2 linked regions of the Elephas maximus indicus genome follow. The protein of the gene in region 2 binds, or shares a complex with, the protein of the main gene of each other region. Links are inferred from orthologs where the notes say so. Each region holds a gene or a part of one and is shown on either strand. Other genes may lie near its edges.

Evidence for each region. Proteins that work in one complex are often made in the same cells at the same time.
Region 1: CUL1 (region 2) and BTRC share a complex: the UniProt entries of both Homo sapiens proteins name them as parts of the SCF(BTRC) complex. The link is inferred for Elephas maximus indicus from reciprocal best matches to the Homo sapiens genes CUL1 and BTRC.

The regions. Positions count from the first base shown.
Region 1 is NC_064834.1:52,977,921-52,985,998, forward strand, and holds the start of BTRC (F-box/WD repeat-containing protein 1A), read left to right. Parts: upstream 1-5,065; 5' UTR 5,066-5,165; coding exon 5,166-5,213; intron 5,214-8,078. UniProt on the Homo sapiens protein: Substrate recognition component of a SCF (SKP1-CUL1-F-box protein) E3 ubiquitin-protein ligase complex which mediates the ubiquitination and subsequent proteasomal degradation of target proteins. Recognizes and binds to phosphorylated target proteins.
Region 2 is NC_064826.1:1,461,223-1,468,399, forward strand, and holds the start of CUL1 (cullin-1), read right to left. Parts: upstream 3,093-7,177; 5' UTR 2,954-3,092; intron 82-2,953; exon of another isoform or gene 1-81. UniProt on the Homo sapiens protein: Core component of multiple cullin-RING-based SCF (SKP1-CUL1-F-box protein) E3 ubiquitin-protein ligase complexes, which mediate the ubiquitination of proteins involved in cell cycle progression, signal transduction and transcription.

The DNA.
Region 1 (8,078 bases), on a different chromosome or scaffold from region 2:
GATGGAAGGGAAAGCCTGGAAGTCAGAGAACTGGATTGGAGTTCAATATGGCGAACCAAGCAAAAAAGATGATGATAGTCTGGAACAGGCTAGCACTGAGGGTGGGATGGGAGCTGCAAGAGGTATTTGATGGATTCCTGGCTGAATACAGACTCTAATAGACAAGGACGAGTCAAAGAGTACTCTAAGGTCTTAAACCAGGATAGAGGAAAAAAAAAAAAAAGAAAGAAATCCAGTAGTAGCTGTGGTTTCTCATGCTGACTGTCCAGTTTTCCAATAAAATGGAGGTTTAAGAGTTCTAATGATTCGGTATTCTCCTCAAGCAACTGCACTATAAGTGGACTCATAAGTGCATATAGTTTAGAGTTGGCAGAGATCTTGTTTTCCAGATGAGGAGAGGGCCAGAGAGGATGGTTAATTGCTCAAAGTCAACCAATTAACTGGGGAAAGTGTGGGCTAGGATCAGACTTGTTAACTCACCAGTCTGATCATCTTTCCTAAACCATGTTGGACAGGAGGGGTTTGAAAATCAAGGCAATTCAGATTTGCATTTCGTAGGCTTGCCTCATCATGACTGGTCAATTTTAAGGAAAGAGGATTTATCCTTTCCATAGTCAACTCCTGCCAGGTCAGTTTCAATCTACATGCATAACAGCCCTCTAGCTCGTTGTGCTTCCAAACAAAAATTCCTTATATTCGTTTTACTAATTCTCATCTTCAAATGACTAAACAAAGTGAGGACTGTCACTGACTGGCAGCCTCATCAGGCAATATTTTCATACTCCTCTATGAATAACAAAGTAAAATCAGTGACTTATCAACAGTATAGAATTTAAAAGGTCTTAACCTCCCACCCAAACTGAAACTCCCTAGACTATTTCTGAAAGATGGTCATCCTGCCTTTAAGTGTTTTCAGGAATGGGGCAGTCCATTCCTTTGTCATGACAGCTCTAATTACTCGAAAAAATTATTACTGTAAATTAGGGATAACAACAGCTATTTTCAGAGTTACTATGACTATTTAAAAACAAAACAAAACAAAACAAACCCATTGCTGTCACGTTGATTCTGACTCATAGCAACCCTATAAAAACCCTATAGGACAGAGTAAAACTGCCCCATAAGGTTTCCAAGGAGCGCCTGGTAGATTTGAACTGCTGAACTTTTAGGTTAGCAGCCGAACTCTTAACCACTACGCCACCAGGGTTTCCACTATGTATATTAAAAAAAAAAAAATATTAGGGATTATAAATGTAAAATACCCAGTATAGTGCCTGGCACAAAGAGCTAATAAAACGATAGCTGTTGTTGTTATTATTATCTCACCCACTGATTCTAGTTTGCTCTGTGAAGCTACATACATATACTTTCAAATAGCCTTTCAAATACTTGAAGTTAATTGTCATGTTATTCCTATGTGTTCTTTTTTCAGAATAAGCATCTATCAGTATTTTCTCTCTTGGATATCCTGCTTTTGGCTATGCTCCTGCATGGGATCTTTGTAGAATGGGGTGCCCATAATTGAACAAGGTACTGTAAATGTAATCTGGGTGCTTCAAAATAAAGTAAGACCATAAGCCTCTTTGGCCCAGATCCTACTTCTGCTCAAGCTGCCTAGGGTTCCTTTAGCTTTTGTGGCAATCACGTCACATTACTGCCTTTGGCCTAGGAAAACTCCCAAGTCTTTTTTCACATGAGTTTTAAGTCTCCCTCATTTTACACTTGTGTAGAACTTTTTTTCAAACACGAGCGCAAAACTTTATATTAGTGGAAAGCCTGTTACGTATCAGATAAGTTCTGTGGAAATAGGGATGCCTACGACAAATCATTAACACGTTAGAAATGTAAGCTCCACAAGGGCAAGGACTGAGTCTGTTGTGTTCACTACTGAATCTCCACTTTTTGTCATGATGTCGGCACACAGTTATATGCTTAATGTTTGTTGAATAAATTACTGAATAAAATATTTACAATGGAGATTTTTTCTTATAAGTTAAAAGGTATTTCTCTGATTCACTTATTTTTTTTTTTTTTTTTATAATAACTTTTATTAAGCTTCAAGTGAACGTTTACAAATCCAATCAGTCTGTCACATATAAGTTTACATACATCTCACTCCCTACTCCCACTTACTCTCCCCGTCTTGAGTCAGCCCTTTCAGTCTCTCCTTTCTTGACAATTTTGCCGGCTTCCCCTCTCTCTATCCTCCCATCCCCCCTCCAGACAAGAGTTGCCAACACAATCTCAAGTGTACACCTGATATAATTAGCTCACTCTTCATCAGCGTCTCTCTCCCACCCGCTGACCAGTCCCTTTCATGTCTGATGAGTTGTCTTCAGGGATGGTTCCTGTCCTGTGTCAACAGAAGGTCTGGAGAGCATGACCGCCGGGATTCCTCCAGTCTCAGTCAGACCATTAAGTTTGGTCTTCTTATGAGAATTTGGGGTCTGCATCCCACTGCTCTCCTGCTCCCTCAGGGGTCCTCTGCTGAGCTCCCTGTCAGGGCAGTCATCGATTGTGGCCGGGCACCAACTAGTTCTTCTGGTCTCAGGATGATGTAGGTCTCTGGTTCATGTGGCCCTTTCTGTCTCTTGGGCTCTTAGTTGTCATGTGGGCTTGGTGTTCTTCATTTTCCTTTGCTCCAGGTGGGTTGAGACCAATTGCTGCATCTTAGATGGCTGCTTGTTAGCATTTAAGACCCCAGACGCCACATTTCAAAGTGGGATGCAGAATGATTTCATAATAGAATTATTTTGCCAATTGACTTAGAAGTCCCCGCAAACCATGTTCCCCAGACCCCCGCGCTTGCTCCGCTGAGCTTTGAAGCATTCATTTTATCCCGGAAACTTCTTTGCTTTTGGTCCAGTCCAATTGAGCTGACCTTCCATGTATTGAGTGTTGTCTTTCCCTTCACCTAAAGCAGTTCTTATCTACTGATTAATCAATAAAAAAACCCTCTCCCACCCCCCCTCCCTCCCCCCCTCGTAACCACAAAAGTATGTGTTCTTCTCAGGTTTACTATTTCTCAAGATCTTATAATAGTGGTCTTATACAATATTTGTCCTTTTGCCTCTGACTCATTTCGCTCAGCATAATGCCTTCCAGGTTCCTCCATGTTATGAAATGTTTCAGAGATTCGTCACTGTTCTTTATCGATGCGTAGTATTCCATTGTGTGAATATACCACAATTTATTTACCCATTCATCCGTTGATGGACACCTTGGTTGCTTCCAACTTTTTGCTATTGTAAACAGAGCTGCAATAAACATGGGTGTGCATATATCTGTTTGTATGAAGGCTCTTGTATCTCTAGGGTATATTCCGAGGAGTGGGATTTCTGGGTTGTATGGTAGTTCTATTTCTAACTGTTTAAGATAACGCCAGATAGATTTCCAAAGTGGTTGTACCATTTTACATTCCCACCAGCAGTGTTGATTCACTTATTTTTATAAATTCAGATCATTTACAAGTCTAACATAATCTCAGTTTTAGCTTAAACCTAGAGTTTTCTCCTCCTAGGGTAATCCAATTTCCAAAATAAACACTAATTATTCCTTTCAAGGTCAAAGAAAATACTCACATGCTTTAGCTGCTGGGTGGCCATTATATTCCACCACTGAAGGCCTTTTGTAAACAAGTACCCCCTTTGACCCTTAATGCACTGTTTACATCCCAGGGTTAACACTAGCAAACCATGCCTTCTGAGTGTTAAATACCTGAAAATTTCCTGAGCTGACATCTATCTGGCCCTGTTTTTCTGCAGGGGGGGAGAATAGGTCTTTTGGAAGAAATATGGGGAGCTAGCTTTGGAGGACCTTGAAATTCTTCATTGGTCTGTGACCTGCTGCCAGGTACCCACAGGCCCAGTGCCTCTGGGTCACAAACCCTTCCGCAGAAGCTAGATATATGGAATTTGGGGTTGACTAGTTCCCTAAATTCAGTATAGATTAAACATCAGCATAAAGAAAACTAAAATCCTAACAACTGGACCAAAAAGCAACAGCATGATAAATGGTGAAAATATTGAAGTTGTCGGGAGTTTCATTTTACTTGGATCCACAATCAACATCCGTGGAAGCAGCAGTCAAGAAATCAAATGACACATTGCATTGGGTAAATCTGCAGCAAAAGCCCTCAAAAATGTTAAAAATCAAAGATGTCATATTGAGGACTAAGATGGACCTGACCCAAGCCATGATCTTTTCAATCACCTCATATGCATGCGAAAGCTAGACAATGAATAAGGAAGACGGAAGAATGATGCCTTGCAATTATGGTGTTGGCAAAGAATATTGAGTACGCCATGGACTGCCAGAAGAACGAACAAGTCTCTTGGAAGAAGTACAGCCAGAATGATCCTCAGAAGCAAAGATGGATGATGACAAGATTTCGTCTAAGGTACTTTGGACATGTTATCAGGCGGGATCAATCCCTGGAGAAGGACATCATGCTTGGTAAGTCATAGGGTCAGCGAAAAAGAGGAAGAACCTCAACGACGAGATTAATTGACACGGTGGCTGCAACAATGGGCTCAAGTCAACAACTGCGAGGATGGCACAGGACCGGCGGTATTTCGTTCTGTCGTACGCAGTGTCCCTGTGAGTCGGAACCGACTCCACGACACCTAACAATAAGAAGTTCCCTAAAACCACAGTTAGGGAGGTCCCAGGACCTCTGAGTCCTCTCATAGTTTTTTCCAGTATTTGGGGTACAGGTGAGGTATACCGGTCGCCATCTTGATATCAAATGTCAGGCAAGCTGCCATTGGCGTCTCACGGTAACCACGGAGACACCCGTGCCCCTCCCATTCCTAGAGGCCATAAACTACAATTCCCATCAGCAGACTTTCCCTTGTTGACCGACAGTTGTCTAGGCTTGACTCGTCTGCAACGGCGACCCTGCCGCAGTGAACCGCGGGAGTCGCAGTTCGTGGTGTGGTCTCACTTTTTGCTGCGGGAGGCACCAGAACTACAAATCCCGTGAGCCAGCGGGCTCGCGCATGCGCATGGAACAGCCGATCCTTGCTGGCTCCCTCGCCAGCGCCTAGAGTTAAGAAAGGGCGGGGTGAAGGAAGAGGAGGCGGGATCCGGGCGCTGCGTTGGCTGCGGCCTGGCACCCAGGGGGCGGCCCCGGCAGAGAGCGAACCCAGCGGCCCGGGTCGATTATGGACCCTGCCGAGGCGGTGCTGCAGGAGAAAGCGCTCAAGTTTATGGTGAGGAGAAGGTGCAGACCAGGGAGCGGTGGAGGCGGTGGCGTTGGCGGCGTCGCTGAGTCTCGAGTCTGGGCCTCCTGTCCGCTGGGGGAGGGGGCAGTGGGACCCCGGGCCGAGGCCGGCGACGGCGAAGGCTGAGGGGACAGGACCGGAGCTCCGGGGAGGCGGGAGGGAGTTGCGGAGGAACCCGGGAGTGGGGGCAGCAGCTCCGCCATCTTGTGGATGAGAGGCCAAGTGACAGCGGGGGTTTAATCCGGGAGGGGTCTCCGGGCAGCGCGCGGGGCCGTGGAGAGAAAGGGGCGTGGGGACAGTTACTGAAGAGCGGAGGAAGCCGGGAGGATAGACGCCCAAAGGCCGCTGGCAGGGCCTTCCTGGTGTCAGGGTTACGGGTAAGGCCCGGAGAGGAGGTGCGTTCAGGAGTGGGGAAGGGGAGCGCGGGATAGTGGGAGGACGTATATTGGAATTAGGAGGGAATCGGGCAGGGCTGGATGCAGATGGATCTAAGAGTGGACGAGGGAAAGCCAAGGCTGATGGGAGACTTGTAGTTTTGTAGAATGAAGAGGGAGATAGCCTTTGCCTTGAGGGTGGAATCCCAGCTTAGCCAAACTAATGTTGACAAACTCTGAGAAGGAGGAGGCCTTACTTAGGAAGATAAGGACTCGGAATGGGGACCTAGGGCCATGGTAACAGTCTCTGGGAAAGAACGGCGAGGTTGACTTGTGAGCCAGATTACAAACGTCAGGAAAAGGGATATATGCTCTACTTTGAAAGAAGAAGCTAAATATTGTTGTAAGGACGAGGCGATGAAAAGCAGGAGCCTAATTGGTCAGGGAAACTCGGGTATAGGAGTTTGAGGGCAAATTAATATCTAATAAAATACAAATTAGAGCTAACTTGTGGAGGTAGTGAAGTGTAGGGACCAGGTGCTGTATCACTTCCTGGGAAAGAAAGGGCCAAGGAGATTAGAATTGCAATGACCTATGTGATGAAATCAGAGGAGAAATTCAGGAGATAAAAGGGGGAATGTGGGTAGTCGGTATTGAGAGGAAAGTCAGAATTGGTGGTTCCCATCAGTTTTAGGTGTGAGCATGGGTTGGGCTTTGTGTGTGTGTTTAAACTCCTTGGAGCTTGTTTAACTTTGTATCATGCTTTTCTTGTGCTATACTTACATTTGGCACACGTGTGTAGTCTGATATCTCATGCTTTTAATCTGATGCTTCTTGTATATCCTAGGTGTAAAGCCAGACTTTGTGGTTACAAGTACAGAATGATGGGATGCATAGACTTCTAGCTTAACAGGGGGCTTTAGAGATATTGGTATTATTTGCAGTCAAGTCTTGCTTGCTTTTTCAAAAGTAATTTTAACCTGTCACTCCAAACCTTATTCCTTTGCTAGATAGTTATTACATTGTGTCTTTGTCTGAAATACTGTAACAATTTCCGAATCAATAAACATGGGTATTAATTGAATTAACGCTTTAAACTGCCCCACTTACAAGAATACTTCCCAAGAGACTGGTCAAATTTACTTAAACACCTAAATAAAGTTTGACTGTATCGAAAACAAAATCCCATTAAACTTGAAGAAAGTTCTTGAATGTCTGCCTAATTTTGAAATCTTAAAATATTTAAGAAGAGACTTTGAATTTTTTTTTGATTTTAGAAATTAGAGGAAATTGTTTTATGTCTATAGCTAGCTTCTAAATTTAGTTTAAGTCAGAAAAGTGGCAGCTGCTTATTTTTATTTTCCTATTTAGAGGGTTGACTCTTAATCCTAGTCCTGACACTTGTGTCAGATTTATGGAATAGTGTTATTTACAGATCGTAAAGAGGCATTATGAGATCATCTTCTTTACTCCCCATTAGACCTCAGCCTATGAACATTCTCAACTATTTGCTCTCTGCTTTGTACCAGTAAGTTATGTTTCCGTAATAGCCTTCTGCTTGAGTTAATTTGGACCTGAAGATGGCCAGTGTAGAAGTTTCCAGCTTTTTTGGGGCACACATTATTAAATGTTGAGTCAGTCTCCATAGGGAGAAGCCAATTTTTTCTTTAAGTTACTTTCATTTTTGACCTTGCCTGCTACTGTGGTTGCTGTTTGAGAAAAGGCCAACTGGAAGAGGGTCACCAAGAATGACACCTTAATAACTGATGCAGAGAACAGAGAGCCAGAGACTTGGTATTCTCCTTCAACTCAGTAACAGTCTTATTATGAATCTGAGTAAGTCACAGCTTCCCTTTGGTCCCAATTACCCCACCATAACCTGTGTGTTTATTCAGGGTGAACTTTGAGTTATGAAGATATTTTATTTGCTCTTGAACCAACTAATTAGTTTACAGTACACATGGAAGGGCTATCCTTTAATCAAATTGAAATTTTTATAGTGTTTGCTTTATTTCTTGCCTGACTCCTCTCAGTTGTGAATTACTAATTGTAACTTTTGTATAGATGCCTTGATTTCCATAGTTTAAAAAAAAATGTATAGTTTGTTTAAAACCCCAACATGAAATGAATACCGTCTTTACCAGTTTTACTCATTACCACATTGATGCAGTGTTGCGATTAGGAATTTTATACTAAAATCTTATTAATGAGACTGCTAATTCAGTTGACCGTAATTCACACATGGTCTGTACTCTTACCCTTAGTTACTTGTGAAAAAGAGTTTAAGCAGAACATTTTATTTCTAAAAACAAGTGATATTAAAGAAGTGGTTTACAGTAAATAACTTGTATGCTAATGTTTCTCCCTCAGCTTTAGCAGGCCATTAGGACCTTTACTGATATTTACTTGGTCAACAAAAATCTAATACCTTAAAAAAAAGATAAATGGGAACTGTAAGAAGACCTGAGAAGAGAAACTA
Region 2 (7,177 bases):
AAACCAAACTCATGGTGACCCACGAGACAAAGCAGAACTGCCCCCATAGGGTTTGCTAGGCTGTAATCTTTACTACTACAGCAAACAGTCAGGTCTTTCGCCCTCGGAGCCACTGGGTGGGTTTAAACCACCGACCTTTATGTTAGAAGATGATCGCAAACCGCTTGCACCACTCAGGGACTTAAGGGAACGGAAGAGAGATGATATTCTAGGCAGGAGAAAGCATGAGCCACAGCGGCAGGGAGGGTGGCAGGGGATCCTGGGAACCTGGACAGCAGTAGGGTGGAAGCAGGGAAAGGAGAGGTAAGCTTCCTAGATCCAAGTTTTCCCACAAAGGAAAAAATTTAAATTGCTATCAAACTTGGGCTTCACAATTCTGCTTTTCAGTCATGATTAAGGTGGATTATATTTTATAAGGCAGTTTTTCAAAATGCTGTTGAAGTTCAAAGTTATGTCACTCCCACAGAAGCCAAACACTCTGAGGGCCTAAAGAAATCTTAAACAGTGCGATTAAAAACCAACTCATTTTACAAATGAGGAAATACAGGCTCAGCAAAGTTTAGCTCAGACTAGACCCCATGTCTTTGCTCTCAAGCAAAATGTTCTACGTCTAAGCAAAAATAAATGAATAAATAAACACCACACATATACGTAAGCTAGTAACAACACACAGCTATATATAGAGCTAGAAAAATCTATGAGTGAATAAAACACAGGAAAATCACTAAAAGTGTCATAATTTTGTTACTAAATAAAATTCACATATTACAAACTAGGAGCTTAACCTCCTCAGGGAGCTTAAAATCCCAAATTTGATTTATTCCTCATTTGATGCTCATTTTTCGATCTTGAAAATCAAACAAAAAAACACACTTTACTAAAACTACCAGATAAGCTTAAAAATCAAGATGAACTTAGAATTGATCCTTAGAACTATTATTCTTTTCTCTAGAAATATCTAAAAGACAAGCTTAAAATGAAGCTAACAATCCCCAAAAGGCATTTTATTCCAGGCTGACCCACTCAATTGTCAAGGGTAGATGGGACCTACGGAGAATTAAAACAGCAAAGAATAAAAATACAAACACGTTCACAAGTTTTTGGGGCCCTCATTTTTTTAAACTGAAGAATGTCAAGTAATTCTAGACATTTTAAAGACTAGTGTGTTCAGACTGTCTATGACTGGGCATACTGGGAGTGAACTTCTGAAAAAGATCCCCAAGGACCTGAGAAGGGTCTTTCCAATCAGAGGCCGCATCCCGGACTCTGTAGTAGCACAAGCGGGTTTGCCTCATCTTTCCAACATGGAAGAGCCTCAACTATCAGGCTACTTTTTTCATTTTCAAACACAAAGTGCAATATTTAGCCTGGGGGAAAAAATGATTCAAAAAAAAAAAAACTCACAAAAAGATAAACAAATTCGACACCTTAAATCTAGTTTTGAAGGGGAAAAAAGCTAAGTAAAGTTTCACAAACTGTTTTCTTGGCACCTGCTTGATTTCCACAGGTAAAGAAAACCTGGGCATATCTTTTGGGGCATTGGGCTAGATACTGGGGTACGGAGGGGGAAAGGACGAGGTAATGAAAAAGAAAGGATGGAGGAAAAAGACAGCAAATTCAATAACAGTGCAATAACAGTAACAAAGCTTGCATTCGTGAACAGTGTAATTGGGGTGTTTTCTGTAACCAAAATCAGGGCAAGTGGTCAAACAATAGGTATAACAGGTAGAACTACTCAGAACATTCATCCAAACACTGAGGTACCACCTTGACCAAGTTCTGTGCTAATCTGGGATGCAAAAATAAATAAGGAATATTCCTTGCCCTCAAGGAATCCAGTTTGAAACATACGGGAAATAAAGCTGTGTTCATCACCGAGGCTAATTATCACCAGGTGCTCATTAAGCATCAGGAACCTAACCTGCTTTAATACTCTGCGACGCTGTGCATAACCGGCTCACACACGCGAGTGTCCCTCAGTTTTCTGATGGGGTACAAGTTAGCAATGGGGCTGCCTACAAGGGCTAGGGCTAGGGGCTCTGAGAGTGGGCCGGAGAAATGGGTGAAAACTTCCAGTATACTAAGCTTGGTTGGTTTAGGGGTTTTCAGGCAAAACAGCTTTTAAAAGATGAGACCAGCGACGGAAAAAAGTTTAACATATTCAGAAAGTAATCCAGCCACCCCTCTGAAGCTTCGGGAACACGCTCCAAAACCTCCAAACATGGGCATAGTGGAGTTAACGCCAGGCCACCTTGCGTTCACCAGCTTCGGAATTTGAAATGCGATGCAACTATGTGGACTGTCCATGCAGAGCAATAAACAGAACTTCAAACTAAATTTTTCCTAATATTCAAAAACCTCCCGGACAAAGCGAGCCTCAGGTCCCGGCGCCTCCCCGCCGACACACGGTGTACTTCGCCGGCACCACACGCACCGGCCACACAGCCACACGCCCTGCGGGCTTTCGGGGACGCAGCGAGGCCCCGACGCAGAGCGACCGCAGCCCGCGCAGCTTCCGCGGGGTCGGGACGGAGGCCCGGGCCGCGGCCTAAGTGGAAACCGCTTCGGTTCCCGTCCGTCACTCCGCAACGCGGCTCCAAGACGGCCAGGCCGCTCGCCGCCGCGCTCCCAGCTCCCGCGGAAGGCGCGGCGCGGCGGCCGGCGAGTCGAGCGCCCACCGCGCCGAGGGGCCAGGCCGGTCCTCACGGCGGGTCACCGGGTCACCGCGCCCCGCCTCGTCCCAGCGCGGGTTCGCGCTCGGCCGCAGCCGCCCGTCCGGGCCGCGAGAGAACGGGCCGCCGATTGTGACCCCATAACGGCCGCCGCCGGCCGCGCGCAGCCGCTGCGCTGACTCAGGCCCCTGCCGCCGCGCCGCGTCCCCGCCGCCGCCGCCATTCCGCCGGCGCCGCCTCGGCCCGGCCGCTGCGACACCGCGGCCCGCCGCCGCACTCACCGCGTCCGCGTCCCCTGCGCCGGCCGGCCCCGCGACGTCCGCGCTCCCCGCCCGCCCGGCCCCGAGAAGGCCAGACAAGGCCCGAAGCCCGTCCCGCCGAGGCCTGGCCGCGTCCTGCTCCCGGGCCGCCCCGCCCGCCGTGCGCCGCGCCGCCCGCCTCTTCCTCCGCTCGGCTCCTCCTCCTCCTCCTCCACCTCAGCTCGGCTCCGCCTCCTCCTCAGCCCGGCCCCGCCTCCTCCGCTCGGCTTCCTCCGTCCGACTCCGCCTCTTCCTCCGCTTGGCTCCGCCTCTCCCTGACCCGGCTCCGCCTCCTCCTCGGCCCGGCTGTGTCTCCTCCTCAGCTCCTCGGCCCGGCTGTCTCCTTCTCAGCCCGGCTCCGCCTCCCCCCTGGCTCGGCTCCGCCTCCTCCTCAGCCTCCTCGGCCCAGCTCTGTCTCCTCCTCCGCTCGGCTCCGCCTTCTCCTCCGTTCACCTCCTTCACCTTTTCTTCTTCTTCCTCTTCCTCAGCCCGGCTCCTCCTCCTGCCTCCTCCCGCCGCACCTGGTCCTCGCCGGGCCTGCCGCCGTCTCGCTACCTCAGAGCCCACGGCCGGTCCTGGACGCCGACAACACTGAGCCCTGAGGGCCGCGGTCTCCGCAGGTGGGGCAAGTGGGGGCAAAGAGGGGGCGGGAAGTGTGCGCGGGCACCACAGACACACGACACACACCGCACAAGTATACACCGCACTTTATACCACATATCACGTATGTACACACATACCCCACACTACATATAGGTCACACATATACACACACCACACAGATGCACACCACACACAGACCCTCACACCACACACACCCACCTCACATGTTCACAAACATACCTGCCACATCACACATATACCACACAGACACACCTCACACATTCACACACCACACAGGTACGTCACACATCTCAGTACTCATACACATGTACATACACTGCGTGGATACACACCACACACAGATACAGCACACAGACACGCCTCACGTTCACACAGGCATACATGCCACATCACACATACACCACACACACATCACCACATATACTGCACATACCTCCCATGTTCACACACCACATGATACATCACACACCTCACCACACATACGTATGTGTGTACACCACATGGATACACTTCACATACATGTACACACACCACACAGGTACACTGCACACCCACCCTCACACCATAAAGAAATGCACCACACATAGCTCACATGTTCACACAGACATATGCATGTCACACCACACATATGCTACACAGACACATACATCAAACACCACACACACACACTGCATACATCTCTCATGTTCACACACTACTCAGAATATACATCCCACACCACATAGACACATACACGACACATCACACACACCTCATACCACAAACACACTGCACACACAATCACACAAATATAACACACACACATACACTACAGACATGCACATCATGCCACACCATATCACACCACACAGACACAGATGTACACCACCAGACATATCATACAAGGACATCACGTACACAGACATCCCATCAATAGGCTTCTTGGGATGGAAGATAAATGCACCGGAGGCAAACCTAATGTAGTATCCTGATGGGCAGGTAAGACAGTCAGCTGTGGGAGATGGCCTGAAAATGAGGCCCAGACATCACACCGAAGTGTGGGATTCTCAGTGTCCTACACCTGCAGGCCTTAGGAATCAGGACCTAAAAGCCTGGGATTATCTGCACCTCTTTTTTTTGATCATTTCTAAAATAGAACCAAACCAAGCTTCCCTTTTCAAGTCCTGTAACCAAATCATTTTTGGCAAATTTTCACCAAGATTCACTTTATTATTAATCTTTGTAAAACCAAATTAAAAACAGACAGAATTTAAAAATTTGATTGCATGTATGTATAGTATGAGATGTGACTAAGTATTTTCTTAACATGCAGGCTGAAGTAGTTAATCCCATTAGTTTGAAATTAAGTGTCATACTCCCTACCTGAAATACTCAAGTTAAATATAAACTTTGGCAGCCCAAGTAGCTACCCGATATGTGGCAGAGGCTGAGAAGGCATGGATAGCCGCATACCTAGGGCCGTCACTCACAACCTAACTCTGTGAACAAGCAAGGAAGGATTTCAAATTGTCATCTGACTAAGAGATGTGAAGAATGTGACTTCCCAAACTAAAACACTGCAGAGATTCTAGTTCCATGCTGGGCAGCAGCCCTCGGCCTAGAGCAGAGGCACTACCTCCATTCACTACTTCCTGAGTAACCACCTGTCTCTTGTAAGACACATCCCATCAGGGTATTTGGCTCTTCCTACTGAACTGTGGTCTTTTCTCAACATCTTTTATACATTCTTATTGCCAAAATAGATGATCCTCCAAAATGCTTGGGGGATAGCCTACATTACTAATGATCTAGTAAGGAAAACATAGGTGTATTTTAACAGTTTTCTTGTTGGGCACTTGGTAAGATTGGAGGTAAAATGGAAGGCTTTTCCCTGGGGACCACACTTTCCACTGTAGATACGTGGTGTTTTTTATTTCCTCACTTCCTTTTCTTAGACAGACTAGGAAAAAAGGCCTGGTGATGTATTTCTGAAAATTAGCCAGTGAAAACCCAGTGGAGCCCCCAGGCTGTCAGGCACTCAAAATACACGGTGGCCAAAACAATGGTCATGAGCATACCAACAATCACAAAGATGACACAGGACCAGGCAGTGTTTCGTTCTGTTGTACATGGGTCACCAGGAGTTGGAGCCAACTCAACAGCAGCTAACAACAACATATGTAAAATATGAAGCAGATGTTTTCCTACCACAGTCACAAAATATATCCGACTGTGGAACCATAGGATAGGTAGCCCCCCACTTTCTCAACTCTTGACTTATAAATGGCTTGCATACAGAAAGGCCTTCACAAAAGGCCTTGCTTTTATTGCTTGGATTTTCACCAAAGATTCTTCAGTAACCTCTCCTAAAAATCAAAATAGCTCCAGGAGGGTAACAGAGCTTGAGTCATTCAGTCACATTTAGCATTAACTAGTTGAGTTGGGTTGTCTTCTTTCTAACATGGATCAGTCCCACCTAAAGAATGGGAAGTTTTGGGCAAGTCTGAGAGAACACTGAGGGTCTCAGAGCAAGCTGAAAGCCTTGGGGCCAGTGGACCTGGGAGAGGAACCTTTAGGAATGGAATGGAATGCAGGAAAGGAGATGGGAGGATTTAAAATTCTAACTTTTCTCGTTTCAGGTATTCATATTGCCACTGCTATGCCTCTTGTTTTGGGATCCAGAAGTCAGAAAATACTACTGTAAGATAGTTATGAATTAAGTAGACATTTGAGGTCTTTCCTGAGGGACTTAAATGCCATCGTTACATTCAGTTAAGTTGGGGCCTATGAAATAGCCATTTTCAAATGATTCAACCTAGAACTGGCGAGCATTCAGAGTTCCAGAAAACTGTCCTAAAATCCTTTGTCCAGGAAGCTTTCTATGACCCTCCAAACCTACTCCACCCTCATCTCTAGATAAGGTGTTCTTTCACTGAAGAGTTTATAATTTGGCATTGCAATTTATTTTCCTTCCATATTTCCCTCTCCATCACAGATTGTTTCTTGAATCCAGAGTGTAAAATGGTGGGAGTAGTAGCATCAGTACCTGTCTAACTTCAGGGGGTGTATAATGAGAATCAAGATCAGCCCATGACTGATCCCTATGAGGTGGAGGTCAGACATCTACACACTCCAACCTCTTTACTAGTTCTGATACCAGCTGTCCCTCCCACTGCACTCTCTACTTCTCATCTGGGTTCGAAAATCTGTTGTCATGGCCACAAAGAACTCACAGACCATACCTACAGTTAAGTGGTTTATTAAGGAAGTAGGGTACAACTTGGGATCAGGATTAGGAAGCATGTAGGCAGAGCCTTTAGTGCAGGACAGCTCTTTCAGCTCCTCTGGGTTGTGCAAGCAAGCAGGACCTCTCTGCTGTGCACACTCCCTCTGGGCTGTGCAGGCCTCCTCTCGGTCCCCTCAGGACAAGCCTCTTCTTGGCCATCTCAGGACAAGGTTCCTCTTGGCTCCTCAGGACAGGCTTCTTCTCAACTCCCTCAGAACAGGCCTCCTATTGGTCCCTGAGGACAGGCCTTCCTGCCTTTGGCTCTGCCACAGAGCCTCTTCCGGGCCTGTCACTGTCTTCAGTGTTCCAGCCCTTGA